Linked DNA regions of Cricetulus griseus. The protein of the gene in region 1 interacts with the protein of each later gene in a pairwise test. Links are inferred from orthologs where the notes say so. Each region holds a gene or a part of one and is shown in the gene's direction. Other genes may lie near its edges.

The links.
Region 2: the proteins of Cry1 (region 1) and Per1 interact in binary tests that used the Homo sapiens proteins (3 or more experiments, as listed by UniProt). The link is inferred for Cricetulus griseus from reciprocal best matches to the Homo sapiens genes CRY1 and PER1.
Region 3: the proteins of Cry1 (region 1) and Per2 interact in a two-hybrid assay, tested with the Homo sapiens proteins (5 studies listed by BioGRID, with this or other methods). The link is inferred for Cricetulus griseus from reciprocal best matches to the Homo sapiens genes CRY1 and PER2.
Region 4: the proteins of Cry1 (region 1) and Arntl interact in a two-hybrid assay, tested with the Homo sapiens proteins (3 studies listed by BioGRID, with this or other methods). The link is inferred for Cricetulus griseus from reciprocal best matches to the Homo sapiens genes CRY1 and BMAL1.

Annotation. Positions count from the first base shown.
Region 1 is NW_023276806.1:150,311,972-150,314,697, forward strand, and holds the end of Cry1 (cryptochrome-1), read left to right. Parts: intron 1-270; coding exon 271-342; intron 343-418; coding exon 419-522; 3' UTR 523-526; intron 527-1,592; 3' UTR 1,593-2,218; downstream 2,219-2,726.
Region 2 is NC_048600.1:82,966,607-82,970,998, forward strand, and holds the start of Per1 (period circadian protein homolog 1), read left to right. Parts: upstream 1-1,431; 5' UTR 1,432-1,635; intron 1,636-3,509; exon of another isoform or gene 3,510-3,684; intron 3,685-4,392. UniProt on the Homo sapiens protein: Transcriptional repressor which forms a core component of the circadian clock.
Region 3 is NC_048595.1:442,981,619-442,985,978, reverse strand, and holds the start of Per2 (period circadian protein homolog 2), read left to right. Parts: upstream 1-1,519; 5' UTR 1,520-1,671; intron 1,672-4,360. UniProt on the Homo sapiens protein: Transcriptional repressor which forms a core component of the circadian clock.
Region 4 is NC_048596.1:87,402,601-87,406,281, reverse strand, and holds part of Arntl (aryl hydrocarbon receptor nuclear translocator-like protein 1), read left to right. Parts: intron 1-79; coding exon 80-121; intron 122-1,504; coding exon 1,505-1,662; intron 1,663-3,360; coding exon 3,361-3,440; intron 3,441-3,681. UniProt on the Homo sapiens protein: Transcriptional activator which forms a core component of the circadian clock.

The DNA of each region.
Region 1 (2,726 bases):
ACGAACACATACATGACATGTGCATACACACAAAAATACATACATGTAAAGACTACACACAAAATAGAAATGAAATACAACCAGTGGTTTTGCCTTGTCTGTCACTGGTCAGCCTGAACTTAAAGTTTTCTTGATTTTGAGATTGTGATCTTTGGCTCAGAGTTAAGATTAAGAAAAGTTAAATACAAATACTTATAAAAAAAACAGGTTTTATAGTCCTAATGTATACATCTTAAGTTTTTAAGTCATTTTCTTTTGTTTGAAATACAGGTTGCTCTCAAGGAAGTGGTATTTTACATTATGCTCATGGAGACAGTCAGCAAGCTCACCTGCTAAAGCAAGGTAAGGGGAAGCAAGCACTCAAGATCACTGCGCCCCCTCCTGGCCCCACCTCACACGTGCATTTGTAAATGTGTAGGAAGAAGCTCCATGGGCACCAGCCTCAGCAGCGGGAAGCGCCCCAGTCAGGAAGAGGAGACACGGAGTGTTGATCCCAAAGTCCAGCGGCAGAGCAGTAACTGACATGGTAAATACTTAGGTTTTCTCTCCTGCTTTAGTATAGAACTAACCTGAAATAACTAATGAGGACTGTTCTATTCTCTGGCATATAAGCAGTTGTCATAGACCCTGTTCATGAATGAACAGGAGAGACGCTCCTGTATTGGGCAGAACACTGCACCCAGAACCATGCTCCCTGAATCCAGTCTTTCACCCTGAAAAGCTTTGGTTTTGAGGAAGACAAGGTTTTCATAAGATATGACTGTGAGCCTAAAACAAAGGAGCCTCCTAATTTCAAAAACTTTAATATAATTCCTCTAAAACCTTCACCTCAAACCTTTACTTAAGTATTGATAATTAAGGAGAGAAGGGGTTTGAGACATGGTCTCTGTATAGTGCAGGCTACCCTTGAACTCATACACAGGCTAGTGTCATACTTGCAGTGGTCCAGGCTAGCCTCATACTTGCAGTGGTCCTTCTGTGTCATTTTCCTGAAGGCTAGGATTGCACAAACGTACCATATGCTCAGGTCATGCATTATCTTCTCTGCTGTGCTGCTTCCAAAACCTAAGTCATTAATTTTTAAGCAATGCTGGGCCTTTTTAGAAGTATCAGAAATTGTGTCTACATCCAATTTAATTGAATTTGTGATACTATTTTGTGACCTAATAAGGAAAGTATTTACTAGCTACTTTTGCCAGCTTATTTATTTATTTATTTATTTATTTATTTATTTATTTATTATGTATGCAGTATTCTGCCTGCACATATCCCTGCAGGCCAGAAGAGGGCACCAGATTTTATTGCAGATGGTTATGAGCCACCATGTTGTTGCTGGGAATTGAACTGAGGACATCTAGAAGAGCAGCCAGTGTTCTTAACTTCTGAGCCGTCTCTCTGGTGGCCTACTTTTGCCAGTTTTTAAAGATTATTTTTCATATTTTTGGTTATTGGAAACTGTTTACATTATCACCTAGTTTTTTATGTCACCTAATTATGAATTTCTTGAAGTTAAAATCAGTAAATGCGTATCAGTTTTTTATTATTTAACTCCTTACAGCCAAGTTTTCATTGGTTTTTCCTTTAAATCACAGGAAACACGAAGGAGGAGTTCTGGTGCAGCTGAAGTTGGTGAGCCAGTCAGGACTCTTCATTTAAATTATTAAAAATGTCCTTCATTCACAGAAAACAGATTTTGAACATATTATTTCTAATAACATTTCTGTGGTTTTTAACTTTTTAATGAATATCACATAGGACAAGTGCTAATTTGTATATAAAGAACTTGGCAAAAGGTTTGCTTAATGTAAATATAGTCACAGTTAGTATAGACTCATCAGTATATTTTTGATAATTTTTCATGTATGGTAAAAGTTAAAGTTAACAGATATTCTGATATAAAACTCAAGTTTTGAGAGTCATTGCAGGAAAATGGGAAGTTTTTAGACTTTCTTAAAAGACTTTGTTAAAATTTTAGGACACATTTTTCTTGACATCATTGTTTAACCAATTCTGCAGTGTTTGATAGTAACACTTTAGAAAACACCTGGAATCAATGAGTAGGCGATGCCTCTGTTAGCGTGGACAGTGCCTGGTAAAGCTGCGTGTACAGCTGCTCCCACTCACACTGCTGGGCTGTGCTCGGTTCTCTTTGTCTCCCCATTTTTTGTTCATTTATAGCTGAAGTGACTTTGTTATTAAAGTTTATGCAAATATGGAATCTTGTGTACTTGGTGTTCATTTTTTCATCTTGTTTGTTTGGGATAAGAGAATTGTGTGAGATGTGATGCAAATTACAGAGACAAATACTAGAAACCACATGTCACCATTTTGAATGAAAGAATAGGTTTTATCTAGCAAAATGGAATTTTTCAGAGTTATCTGAAAGAGTCTCATTTGTTTGTATCACTTAATGGTTTTATTGCTGCAAGTTAGGCTGCGTGAGTCATCAGTTAAGAGCATGGGTTCCAAAGTCAAAGCCTGTCTTCTCTCAGTTGTTAGCTTTGAGATATTGGGCATGACCTTGCCTTTCTGTCTTCATCTTACCATCTTAAAATGGAAGTAAGAATAGTATGTAAAGTATTCATTTGTACTGCAAGGCATACAGCCCAACCAATCAATGTTAGCCTGGCTCCCTGGGTTGTACAGGCTAGCTGCTGCTCCCAGTCACCCTCCCTACTGGGTTCCATTAGGCACCTTCATACTAAAGTCACCTCATTTATACTAAT
Region 2 (4,392 bases), on another chromosome or scaffold:
GCCAGCCTGATCAACATAATGAGACCCTGTCTAAATAAAATAAAATAACATTTGGGTTTTTTTTTTTGGGGGGGGGGCAGACAGGGTCTCAACTATGAAGCTCTGACTGTCCTGGAACTCATTATTAGACCAGGCTGCCCTTGATTTCAAGTGCCTCTCTGCCTCCCTCGAGCTTCGATTAAAGGCATGTGCTATAACAAACCTGACCAAGAAATAAGAACTATTAGAAGTACTTTTTCTTTTAAATTGGTTTTTCAAGACAAGGTTTTTCTGTGTAGCCCCTGGCTGTCATGGAACTTGCTCTGTAGACCAAGCTGGCCTTGAACTCAGAGATTTGCCTGCCTTTGCCTCCCAAGTGCTGGGATTAAAGGCATGTGCCACCACTGCCCGGTTTAGAGGTACTTTAAAAAATAGATTTTTTTTCCCCACCAGTGTTGGTGGTGCACCCCTTTAATCCCAGCACTCGGGAGGCAGAGGCAGGTGGATCTCTGTGAGTTCGAGACCAGCCTGGTCTACAAGAGCTAGTTCCAGGTCAGCCTCCAAAAGCCACAGAGAAACCCTGTCTTGAAAAAACAAACAAACAAAAAAAACCAAAAAAAAATTTTTTTTCAGGCCCTTTCATTGGACATTATTTTAGAGGTTCTAAGGTGCCCAGGTGTCTTGTATTTAGCAATACTCCACCGTAACTTCTATCTTTATGGGAGAGTTTAAATACGTTAGGCTTTTTGCATTTAATCCCTGAAATTACTTCTAGGCTTAAGGTTTCCATAGGCCTAAGACACCGACCTACCTTCACGGTGTCAGAGCTTTTAAATCAACATGTTAACATGGGAATTCTGACAGATTATGTAACCCCTGCATCTCAGTCTCTGTGAGGTTATGAGTAGTCATCAGGAGTCTGCAAGAAGCGTCTGATACAGAAAACAGGAGGCGACTGTCATTTTCACTATCATCGTCATGCAATCTAAAGACCTCTTCTTATGTTCAGATTTAAGCTTTGGGGATAATCGGAGACACAAAACTCGGGCACCAGGAGCCTCTTGTCTTGGCAGGGTCTCTACTAAGTATCCCCACTACGCCATAGCCTGTCACATCTACGCCTGCGTACAAGTCGCTCGGCAGGCCTGCGCAGACTCCACAGTCTTGGGTAAGTGTCGTCAAGGAAAATCCCCAGCTTCTCGGTAAACAAGTTGCCGCGTGAGCCGGCCCGCACGTGTTCCCTACATCTCCGAGACCTCTCAGCCTATGAGAAAGTTTTTAGGGCAGGGCTGGCATTTGCGTCACCGATTTAGGCAGGGCGGGGCTGTTTCCACAGCCAATAAAAGCTTTGGGAGTGGGCGAGAGGTGTGGCTTCCGGTCAGATGTCCAATCAACGCGCTGGGGCGCCCCCTCCCTCACGTGGCTCTATCACTACCGGTTGTCATGTTGCCCAATGGTAAGATGACTGCGCCCTGAAGTGCCAATGGTGGCTTTGCAGGGGCTTGTCGGCTGCACGCGGCGCGGGGCATGGGTTGGCGCCTGTAAGCCAATAAGCTTGGGAGGCGTGACAGAATGGGCAGTGGGAAGGCCTGGAGGAGCCTGTGGAGTAGCTTCCCAAGTAGTGAAGAAATTTGGATTCTGCGTGCGATCGGAACTGTGAGTAGCCCCCTACTCTGGGGCGGTCGAAATGGGTTTTTCCCGGGAGGATTGCTCGGCCAAAAGGGGTGTCAGTGGCGTGGTGTGTGTGTGTGTGCGTGATCATGCAAATGCGCGATGGTTGCAATAGGAGTGCTTGACGGTTGTGGACTGCAAACTCAGCTCTAGGGGAACATGGATGGGAGTTACTAGCATACATCTCTCAGCTCTCTAGGGTCCCTAGACCCTATTGCCTAGCCTAGAGTGCTCAGAAGCCCTCAGCCACCCGAGGGAGCTGAAGGGCCTGCGATAGGACGCCTGAGAGTTGGTTAAGGTTTGGGTAGGCTCCCTAAATACTTGGAGAGGCAGAGTCTGAGCCTGGAGAAAGGCCCTGGTAGGGCAGGTGGGAATGTGGGATGGTATTCTGAGAAAGGTTGGTGTGCTGATTTGTGTGACTCGGAAGCTATCTCATCACGACCATGGGTTACTTTTTCACGTGGAAAGGATAGCGTTGGGGTCTCAGGTACATGCTTGTAAACAGAAATGAGCTAGCGATTTATTGGATTCTGAAAGGGAGAATAGGGTAGAGGGTTTCTATATACCGGCTTGCCCACTCTTCTCGACTTGCCAGAGGTGAGGAGGCACCAAAAGGCTGCTCTGCTGTCTAGACAGGCCTGGTTGAGGTGGGAGAGGGAGGAAGTGAGGTTCCTACAGGTTCCTGTAATAGTGGCTGGAGACTTCTCGGATGATTTCAAGGCCTTTGAGCATAGTAAAAAAAATGAACGGTGGTGGTGTGTGTGGAGTACAAACAATGCCTTTAGATCATGCGGAAAGGAAGAAGGAACTGGATGAAGCTTGTATTCTAGGCACCAAACTTAGAACTAGGGAAATATGTGAGAAGTCCTGGTTTGACGGTGCTGGAATGCAGAGTAGAGGGTTAGTAACACTTTCAGAGGGTCCCTGAGGGTAAGAAGCCAGGACAAGACATCATCAGAGCTTGAACCTTGGGCTCCATTATTAAGAAGCTGAGAACATGTTTATGAAGCAGACAATTAAGGCAAGTTTAGTGACTACTAAGTCTTAGTTATCCCTCATGAAATAAGAGTGATAGCTACCTTCATTCAGTTGTTTTGGGGCTTAAAAAAACAGTATACATAAAATACGAAGCCCACGCTTGGGTCATTTAAAACACAAACTATAAGGTAACTAAGCAATAGTGATAGAGCTAACCCTCATCTTCTGTTTTTCTGCAAGTTTTGATGACTCCTCTTTTCCCTCTTCCTGATTTTTCTGGTCTGCAGGCACCAACCCAAATTCCATCATTCCTCCCCTGTATTCCTCTCCCAAGATCTGGGCTCCAGACTGAGGCTACTTGCACTGTCCCAGTTTGACTTCCTTATTCTAAATGCATTCTCCCCAACCCACCCCCATTCTGTGTTGTAATAGTAACTAGAAATTCCGCCTCTGAAGGGGGCCTCTGGGAAGGAGCAAAGGTGCGCGTTCCCTCTCTGAACCTGGGCCTCCGATTTACCCGCGGTGGCTCTTTGGTACCTGGCCAGCAGCTGTGTACAGTTTGGTGAAAGGGAAAAGCCAACGCCAGGAGCTGTAAGAACCAGCTGGGGGCCCACAAACGCCAAGTCCGGAAAAGAGAGCCAGGCATGGGGGTAGGGAAGGGGGACCCCTTTCTCCTAACCGTCTCTCCAGGAATCCCTGGCTTTTGTACAGGACGGCTGTCGTTGGGTTGGGGGAGGCGCCAAGTCTGAGTGCATGTCCTGGGCCACCAGCCAAGAGAACACGATGTTCCCTAGTGCGCTGGCCGCCGCCCTCTGGGGCTGGCTGCCTCCCAAACCGCTGCCTCTCCAGCCTCCCTGCCCCACATTCCCCGGCTGCCTCGCCCCGCCTCCTTCCTCCGCTTTGACGTCACCACTGTCTCCCGCCCCCTCTTCTCCATTGACGGCAGCAGAGCCTGGTTACTGTGGGGACCGTCAGACCTGACAACCTGGGCCTTGGGACTAGGTGGGGGCTGTTGGAGTGCTGAACCTTTTGTCTGTGTAAATGGCAGATACGGAGGTGGGTGAGCAATGGCTGTTTGGGTCAGAGGAATCACACCTAAATCCTTGAGAGCTGTGGAGGGAGAAAGGGGTCTGAAAACAAAAAAAGGAGAGAACAGGGTCACACACAGTACGAGGGGGCAGGAAAGCAGCATCATTTTCAGGAAGAGGAAGCTGGGGATTCAGGTGCCTGTGTCTTTTGTTTTCCGTTTTCCTGCTTCTGTTTTTTTTTTTTTTTTCTGGGTTATTTTATAACACTTCTGTGTCCCAGCTTTTTTACAAATCCCTGCCCCTCCGCCTCCTCCAAGGGAAACACTATTGTTAAGGAAAGCTTTAGCCACGTGACAGAGAGGGGCGTGCACTTACAGCTGATTATGTCAGCAGCTGCTTGGTGGCCTCTTCACCTGCCATCTAGGTTTCCAGGGAACCCTGGAAGAACTGCTCAGCACAGGTCTGGATAGACCCAGACTGGCACGTTATTCCTCCAAATCAAGCCCCTGCTCTCTTTTTTATGAATCAGTGCTCTACTTTTCTTTTTAAAATTGTAATTTGTTGCTTCCCGTCCTCCCGAGGCTCCCTCTCCCTTACCTATCCTTGATAGAAACAAAGTCATCATGTTTAGCGCCAGTCTGCTGTGTGTCAGGTCCTGACACAAACTGACTGACTTGCATTACTGCTGAGAATACAGTAAATGAGCTGGATGAGCTTGCTGCTCGAACCTTAGCTT
Region 3 (4,360 bases), on another chromosome or scaffold:
TCTGCTCTGTTTGTGTGTGTTGGGGAGTGTGGTGAGGTGTCAATGTCAGGGGAACTAGAGGTGGTGCTCTGCCCCCTGCAGTGTGAGTCACACATCTGGCTTCCCAGGGCCCCTTGGGAAGAGTTGCTGAGGTGAACTTAGTCTGCCCCAGCTGCATCTGAGGATCTGTATGCCTGTTCTGCCAGGCAGAGAGAAAGAAGAGGCTCACACACAGGAATTCTTGAATGTGGGTTAACTGGCTGTATAGACCAGCAGCTCAGTCCCTTCACAGGCTTCTGTTTATAATGTTTGCTTTGTTTTCCATCCCTGGTTCCTAGGAGGCCCAAGGGGAAGATCCAGAGTAGCAGATGCTGCTCCTGGGCAGTGCCAAGTGACCCTTTTCACTTGTCAAAGACAACTTCGTCTCCCCATCACACCTTGCACTTTCAGAGCCTTTAAGTTGTTCTATGTCATACAGGTAAATCTTGGGCCTTAAACCAGTCCCAACGGAAGTTCTGCTCCCTCCTTTGACCCTTTGGACAGAAGCCTGCATGCTTAATACGTTTCCAGATACTGGTCTTGAAAGAACAAATAGCGTCAGCCAAGGTGCCACAAGGGCAGGGCTGCCCCATCCCTGGGGAGTTCCCTACCCTGGCTAGCAAGTGTCTGCAGCTTCCACCTTGGAAAAGTCCTGATTCTCCAGATGCGTACCCCATTTACCCATCCTCAGGTGCCCCGCCTCCGTAGAGTTTATTTGTAAGGCTAATTAACTACAGCATCCCATTTGCTAAAGTTTTAGAACGCCAAGTCTTTTCTGTCTATGAGATTGAGGGCAGGGAGGAATCACTTCTTTCTTTTGTATCTCTGCACAGTAATTATGACCTTATTTCCTGAATCCACACTTGCAACACGCGGTTTCAAAATCAAGAAAGGCTACATGGAAGCGGGGACGACCCGTCAGCCTGGGGCACAGGATGCCCTGGGTGGGTGTGCAGCGGCAGATCTAGAGGGTCCGCCCTGTTTGTCTTCGGGCGCTTCTCCATGAATGAATGAGAAAAGAAATGAATGAACTGGGCTGGGTGAGCGAAGGGTGTCAGCACAGAGCTTTCTCGGTTCTGCGGGGCGCCCGGGCGGCCGTGTCGCCGCAGGTGGTAGGCCCGCGGCCCCTGGACTCCGCGGGGGGCCGAACTGCGTAGCCACCAGGCATCAGTCCCCCCCGCGCTGCAGTGGTACGTGCCACTCCGCGCGGCACGAGCGGGCAGCCGCCGTGCCAGGTGAATGGAAGGCCCGCGGGCCGGAAGTGGACGAGCCCACTCGCCAGAACGCGGGGGGGAGCACGAGCGCGCAGCTTCTTCATTGAGGAACCGAGGCGGCGAACATGGAGTTCCATGTGCGTCTTATGTAAAGAGAGCGACGGGCGTCTCAGCCAATTGGCGCGCGGTGCTCTCAGGTCCCGCCCCGCCGGTATGCAGATGAGGCGGCGCCGCGACCAATGGCGGGCGCCGGGGCGGGCGCAGCGCGCGCGGTCACGTTTTCCACTATGTGACAGCGGAGGGCGACGGGGCGGCGGCGGCGGCCGGCGGCGCGGCAGCGCGACAGGGACTAGCGGCTTCGGGCGGCTGCGGCGCAGGCCGGGCGCACCGAGGGACGGGCCGAGAGAAGGACCGAGGCGCGGGCGGACACGGCGGAGCGGTGAGTGGCGCGGCGCCGGGCGGTGGCGCGAACCGGGACGACCGCGGGCGGCTTACGTAACCGGCGGCTCGGACAGCTGGAGCCGGGGTCCTGCGCCAGAAGTAGCCGACCGAGAGAATGGGTGCAGCTCGGCAGAATGCAGCAGACAGGACCGTGCGCTGACCCTCGTCCCGGCGCACACTGCTGCCCCCGTTTCGCAGGTCTAGGCACAGGGGTCGGCAAGATTAGTTAGGTGTCTTGTCTGACGGTGTTTCTTTAAATGATTTTCTTTATCCCCCACCCCCTCCACTGGTGATGTCCAAGAGCGCCGGGGTCAGTGCAAACTGTCCCTAGGACACAGAGGGTCTCTTGAGAAGCTCGCTTCCTGTTGAGTCCTGAGAGTGAAGCCTGATCCTGGGGAAGGACCGATGGATGACAGGCGCTGATCCCTGCGGTGACGCGGGGAAGGAAGGGGGCAAGCCAGCCCCCCAGTGCCAAGCCACACCTGGGGCCCCCGAGGTCAGGAAGACCACCTGGTCCACCCACTTTGTGCTCTGTGGCATCCTTGCCAGTATCCCTGACTCCAGATGGACTGGGCATGTGTGGGGGTGAGGGTCCACTCTGAGTTGGAGCAATCACGTCATCCTTTGGGACATACCTTGGCTGCCAAGTGCAGACATGGACCCAGAGGTGGGCGGTGGCCTGCTTCCCCTGCAGGAACCCTGGTTGCCAGGGTTTCTGTAACGTATACACAAGGAACCAGTTTGGAAAGGTGATTCATACAGAACAGAGAGCCAGAAAGCTCCCTGGAAATCGTCCAGGGTAACCCCTAGCTCGATGAGGCACAGACACAGGCTGGCAGGCTGTGCCACTGTAAAACCAGGCCTGGCCATCTCAGGATCTGTTTTTTTCCTCCTTGGTCCACATGCTTACCAGAGGTGCAAGCCTGAAGAGGACATGTCCACTCTACCTTAGTCTACTGGGCCTAGGTGGGATTTGGCTGATAAGGGAAACCAGAGTCTGCCAGAAGTCTTGAATTATAATTCGGGTTTTTAAATCACACAGTCACTTTTCTTTTAAGTTATTGGAATCTAATGAAGCCAGGGACTCCTTTATTTTAGTGGTAGCTGCACAGTGTGCCAGCATGGAATGGCATAGTGGGTGGTTGCAGTTATCTGTCACTGTCATCTTGGTGTGATTCCCTGGTACAGAGCTGATGCAGCTCCTGTTTTCTGTGGAGGCTGGAGTACTCAGCAGCAGGGGAGCCCTGCGTCAGCCAGCTGGCAGCTACTGGGAACCTTGGCTTACCCTGGGCCTCAGTTTCCTCATTGGAGGCAGTCTCTGAAATATGATTCAGTTCAGGGGTTTGGAGTTCTGGGTCTGTGGACTGTTTTCTCGGGCACCTGTCCAAGAGATAAGAAGTTTCTGAAGCTCTGCCTGGTGTCACTTAATGTCACGGTGTGAGACATATCTGCTGTGCACAAGGAAGTAGTGAGGGTTCCTGTTATTATGTGGCTTCTCTCAAACACTGAACCTTCTAGAAAACCCTGGAAGGTGTGGGGGCCTGTTATTATAATGGTATAATTTCATCCAATCTCAGTGAACCCTGAGCTCCCATGCTGGGAAGTTGATGAATGATTGATAAAACTGGCATATAGAGGCAGAGGAAAGAGCCACACTGGAGGTTGGTGTTGCCCTTGGAAATGACTGTATTGGCGGCCTGGAAACACATAACCCCCAGCCCTTTGTAGTCCTCTTCATCCAACCCTTGCCAGAAGCTGCCTACCAGTAGACTCCTGGGAGAACAAGCAAGTGTAGAGCCTCTGCTGGCCCATTCCCAAGTCAGGGTACTCCCCTGTGGGGATCTGGCCCGCATGTGAAGTCTTTTGCTCATGGAATATAGTAACAAGCCAGTCACTACAGACAACTCTAGAGTCCAGAGCAAGACAGAAGCAGGGAGAGAGGCTACACAATTGACTTTGTGGGTCTGTGGGTGTGTGCGTGTGGGGGTTGCAGGACAACTTGAAGGAGTCAGTTACAGGGATCAAACTCAGGTCACCAATCCCCGCAGCAAGTGTCTTTACCCACTGAGCTGTCTTACCAGTCCTCACTTAATTATCTTGGCACAGTGGGCTTTGTGGAGAAACAGGCCCTATTCACTGCAACACCTGATCAAATAGGATCAGCCCAGGTTACCAAGGGCAAAGGCATTCAAGCAGCTCCTCTTCAACCACCACCAGGGGCTGCCATCTTGGTACGTTATTGTTCTGCAGCTTGGTACCTCAACATAGGTAAGGACTGAAAAGCATGTGGGGGTGTCCTGGTGAGGCAGTGCCCCTCCCGAATGCCTCCTTCCCCTCCTTATTTGGACAGCCCTGGCCACATTTTCCTCCGTTACCCAACCGTCACCATGGAGAGCGTGGCTGTTTGTTTAACAGGACAAACATTTTCTCCGGATTACAGCAGGCAGGCCCCAGGGAGTTGGCTCCTACCAGGAAGTAGAAAACATGTTATAATATTTGAGGTTGTAAAATACCATGAGGCTTGCAGACTCGAGGTCCAGGCTGTCAGGTCCCTGTTATGTAAAGTTAGAAAACAATCAGAGTTTGCTGGGCTGTGATTAGCCAGGCTCAAGCTGTTCCTGCAGGCTGGTCAGAGGGGCGTGTTCAGTTCAGGGACGCTTACCAAGCTGGGACCTTATGATGTATGT
Region 4 (3,681 bases), on another chromosome or scaffold:
GCAGTGAGAAAACAGAAATGTGTAACTCTGCCAGTCATACACGGGGGACTAAAGGTTATGTTTTTGTACTTCCTTCCAGGTTAGAATATGCAGAGCACCAAGGAAGGATCAAGAATGCAAGGTAAGTTCCACCTTTGATTTTGTCTATAAAACATCCTAGCTTTTTAGTCGCTTAGAGAATAGCTGAAGAGTCTTGATATGTCTATTCCCAATTGGTGGTGTCATCTTGGGCATTGTCACCTCAGGAAATGAGGAGATGGCAGCAGGTTTCAGCTTGTTTAAGGTTCTGCCCTTGGCTTTCCCTATACTAAGCTGGCCTTCACTTGTTGCTATCTATGCACATTTAACCTGGAGGAAACTTTGGACATAGCAGAAAGTCATTCAGGCTGGAGTTCTCTCCAGTCTTCACAGTTCCTCACTCACTGGCCCTCCAGAAGACATATGGCTGAGATGCCATTCCTGGGCTGGGCCCCACCTCTGATAGGGACCTTTATTGTGCTGCAAGTAGTACCTGAAGGGCAGATCTTAGGCATCCCTGAACCTCAGAGGTCTCCTGACTTAGTTCTTGTCTCAGGCACAATTGCTGATGCCCTTCTGTTGGGTCTTTATGCCTCCCTGCTATCACTGACTAGGGCCAGTTGAGGTTGTGTCATGACACACAGAACCAGAAGCTGCAGACTGTCTAACCTGACACTTCTAGCATCTCCTTTGCAGACCAGTCTATTCAGGGGGCTCTGTGTTTCAGTATCTAATTCTCCATTGGTGATGTTCCCCTATGGGAGGATGGTCAGAAAATACCAGGTGCACATCTTGTAGGAAGTGTCATCCTACCTAAACAGGCAGCCAGTTCAGGGGTAGAGTATGATATGGCATCCCTCAAAGGAAGGCTGGGGACAGACTGAGAATCTGTCACATCTAGGTGGGTCTCAGTTGATCAAAGACCATGTTAGTACTAGTTATATCCTCCAGACAGACATGATGGCTTCAGCAGGGCACACAGTGGGCTGGTCACAGGTGGCAGAGGCACGTGCTGTGGGATGTTGGGTGTTCTGTGGCTGTTTTAGATGCTTGGCTATGTGGAACCTCTTCCTTCCTTCCTTCCTTCCTTCCTTCCTTCCTTCCTTCCTTCCTTCCTTCCTTCCTTCCTTCCTCCTATCCCTTCCAAAAACCTGGTCTTACAGAATCTGAAAAAAAGAACAATGAGGAAAAATAAACAATTCAGTTTGTTGTGAAAGAACAATTGTCATAGATTTTTTTTTCTTAAAAGATGGGGTAAGCATCAAAAACAAATAAATGAAGAAACAAATCAGTTACCTAATTCTGAATTGTCAATGAGAACACTTGGGAGGTGATTTTTAATATAAAAGTCTAATTTGAAACATGGTACAGAGTCTGAATTTCCCATGTCAGAGAATTTTGGAAGCAGTCACAACTCATTTATTTTTGTCAGTGTTGCCTCAATGCTGCCTCACATCTCAAATGAAATCATTCTACCCATGTTCAGGGAGGCCCACAGTCAGATTGAAAAGAGGCGTCGGGACAAAATGAACAGTTTCATTGATGAGTTGGCTTCTTTGGTACCAACATGCAATGCGATGTCCAGGAAGTTAGATAAGCTCACCGTGCTAAGGATGGCTGTTCAGCACATGAAAACATTGAGAGGTGAGATCTCAGGCTTCATTACCTTTATGCCCTTGACCACAAATGTGACCACCCTTGCCTGCACTGTCCCTGACACAAATGGCGATTTTCAGTGTATAACCCTCAGTGATATGCTGGTACATCTCAGCAACAGATAAGGGGCCAAATCAAGTGATTAATGAGCCCATGAGGGTACTGAGGTGTAATTTGCAGTAGTATCTTCTCAGAGCATATAAACATATGAGCTCAAAACCTCTGTGTGCCTGGCTTCCTGCCTACCAGAGAGGGCACCTCTCAAGTCCCCCTTTTCAAGTGCCTGAATCCCTTATAGTGATCAAAATCAGAAGCATAGGAGCACACAGGGAGGCAGGAGAGAGCCTTGGACTTTTAAGAGAAAAACTTACCCTGGTTCTTCTGATGAGTGAGTCACAGGTAGAATGTCTTATTATCAGAAATGAACATTGATGATATTTTCGTCTTCTTGGAATTTTCCCGAACTCGATTGACTCTTCATGAAGGAGGCAGTGTTTTCCTTCTTTGCTAAGTGTGGGGAGGGTGAGAAAACAGAGGCAGTAAAGAAGAGCCAACTTACCAAAGCTGCAGGAGGAACCTGAAATACATCACCCAATTTGGTGGATGTTGTCCCTGGAATTTTCCAGATAGACTTGGGCTTCAGCACAAACTTGGAAAGGGTGCTCAGCCCCATGTGACCTACATGGTGAGAGAGGCACACCTTTGTATCTGTGTAAGGTCACCAGAAACAGGAAGTTGTTTTTGTTCTGACTTTTGATCATTATTAAAAAAATATATAGAAATGTTGCTTGAAGAATGGCATTGAAAACTTGATTTTAGTCAAGAGATGCATCATAATTAGGTAACTAATTGTTATAGAAAATTGGATGGAAAATTTCAAGGGATGTGGATTAAGACATGTGCCTTGTGAGTTGATGTGAAGTACACAGGCATCCCCTTTGCCTCCTTCCCCGCGGGGCCTTGATTTTCACAGATGGGCTGCCTCTTAGCCCTTCACTGTGCCCTCACTGTTCTGCATATACCAGTCATTTGCAGCTGGCACTTGGCTTTGCTAAGCTATTGCTCTGGAGAACAGCAGATCAAGAGCCTTTTAAACAGAAGTCTGGGCCCCTCAGTTCCCAGGACTGAACTGTGTGAATGAAAGTAACATGCTCCCCAGGTTGCCAAGCATATTAACTTTCCCAAGGAAAGTACCCAGGACCTGGCAGCTTGGATGATTTCTCTAGAACCTGCTAAGTGGTGACTTGACAAAATTACTGGATGGCCCAGGACCTTGGACCTCTTTTCCTTGGAACCTGCTAGGGAGACTCAGAGCTGTGGTCTTTGTGGAGTTTTGTTAGTTTGTTTTTGTTTTTTGAGACAGGGTCTCACTATGTAGCTCTGGCTAGCCTGGAACCATGTAGACCAGACTGACCTCAGTCTCAGAGACCTACCTACCTCTGACTTCTGAGTGCTGGGGTTGAAGGTGTGAGCTACCATGCCTGTTTCCCCGGTAATTAGGAAAGTGCACTTACTCAGTCTCCTGTGGGCAGCAGCATTCTCTTTTCACTGAGGTTCTACTTTGGCATGATAGGATTCTGAGCCAAGCCAGATCCACCATGTTTTGATTCAGCCCAGGTTGCAGGCAGGGGAACGTGATGCTGTCTAAATAGAAAAATCTGCCCACTCTTTCTTTTTCTCCCCAAGGTGCCACGAACCCATACACAGAAGCAAACTACAAGCCAACATTTCTATCTGATGACGAATTGAAACATCTAATTCTCAGGGTATGTGGCAGTTGTGGGAACTCTTTTCACGGCATTGGTTTCTTAATAAGTTTCAGAGTAAGTACATCATGAAGGAGTCTGACATCTCGACACTGAATTCTCCTGGGCCCTCTTCCTCTCTTGTTTCCCCCACTTTATCTTGGTTTCTAGACACATTTCACATTCCTTCCATGAAACCAGTCACTCACCTACCTCTCAATATCACTTAGGCAAAGAAGGGAAAGTCTACAGTAGTGTGACT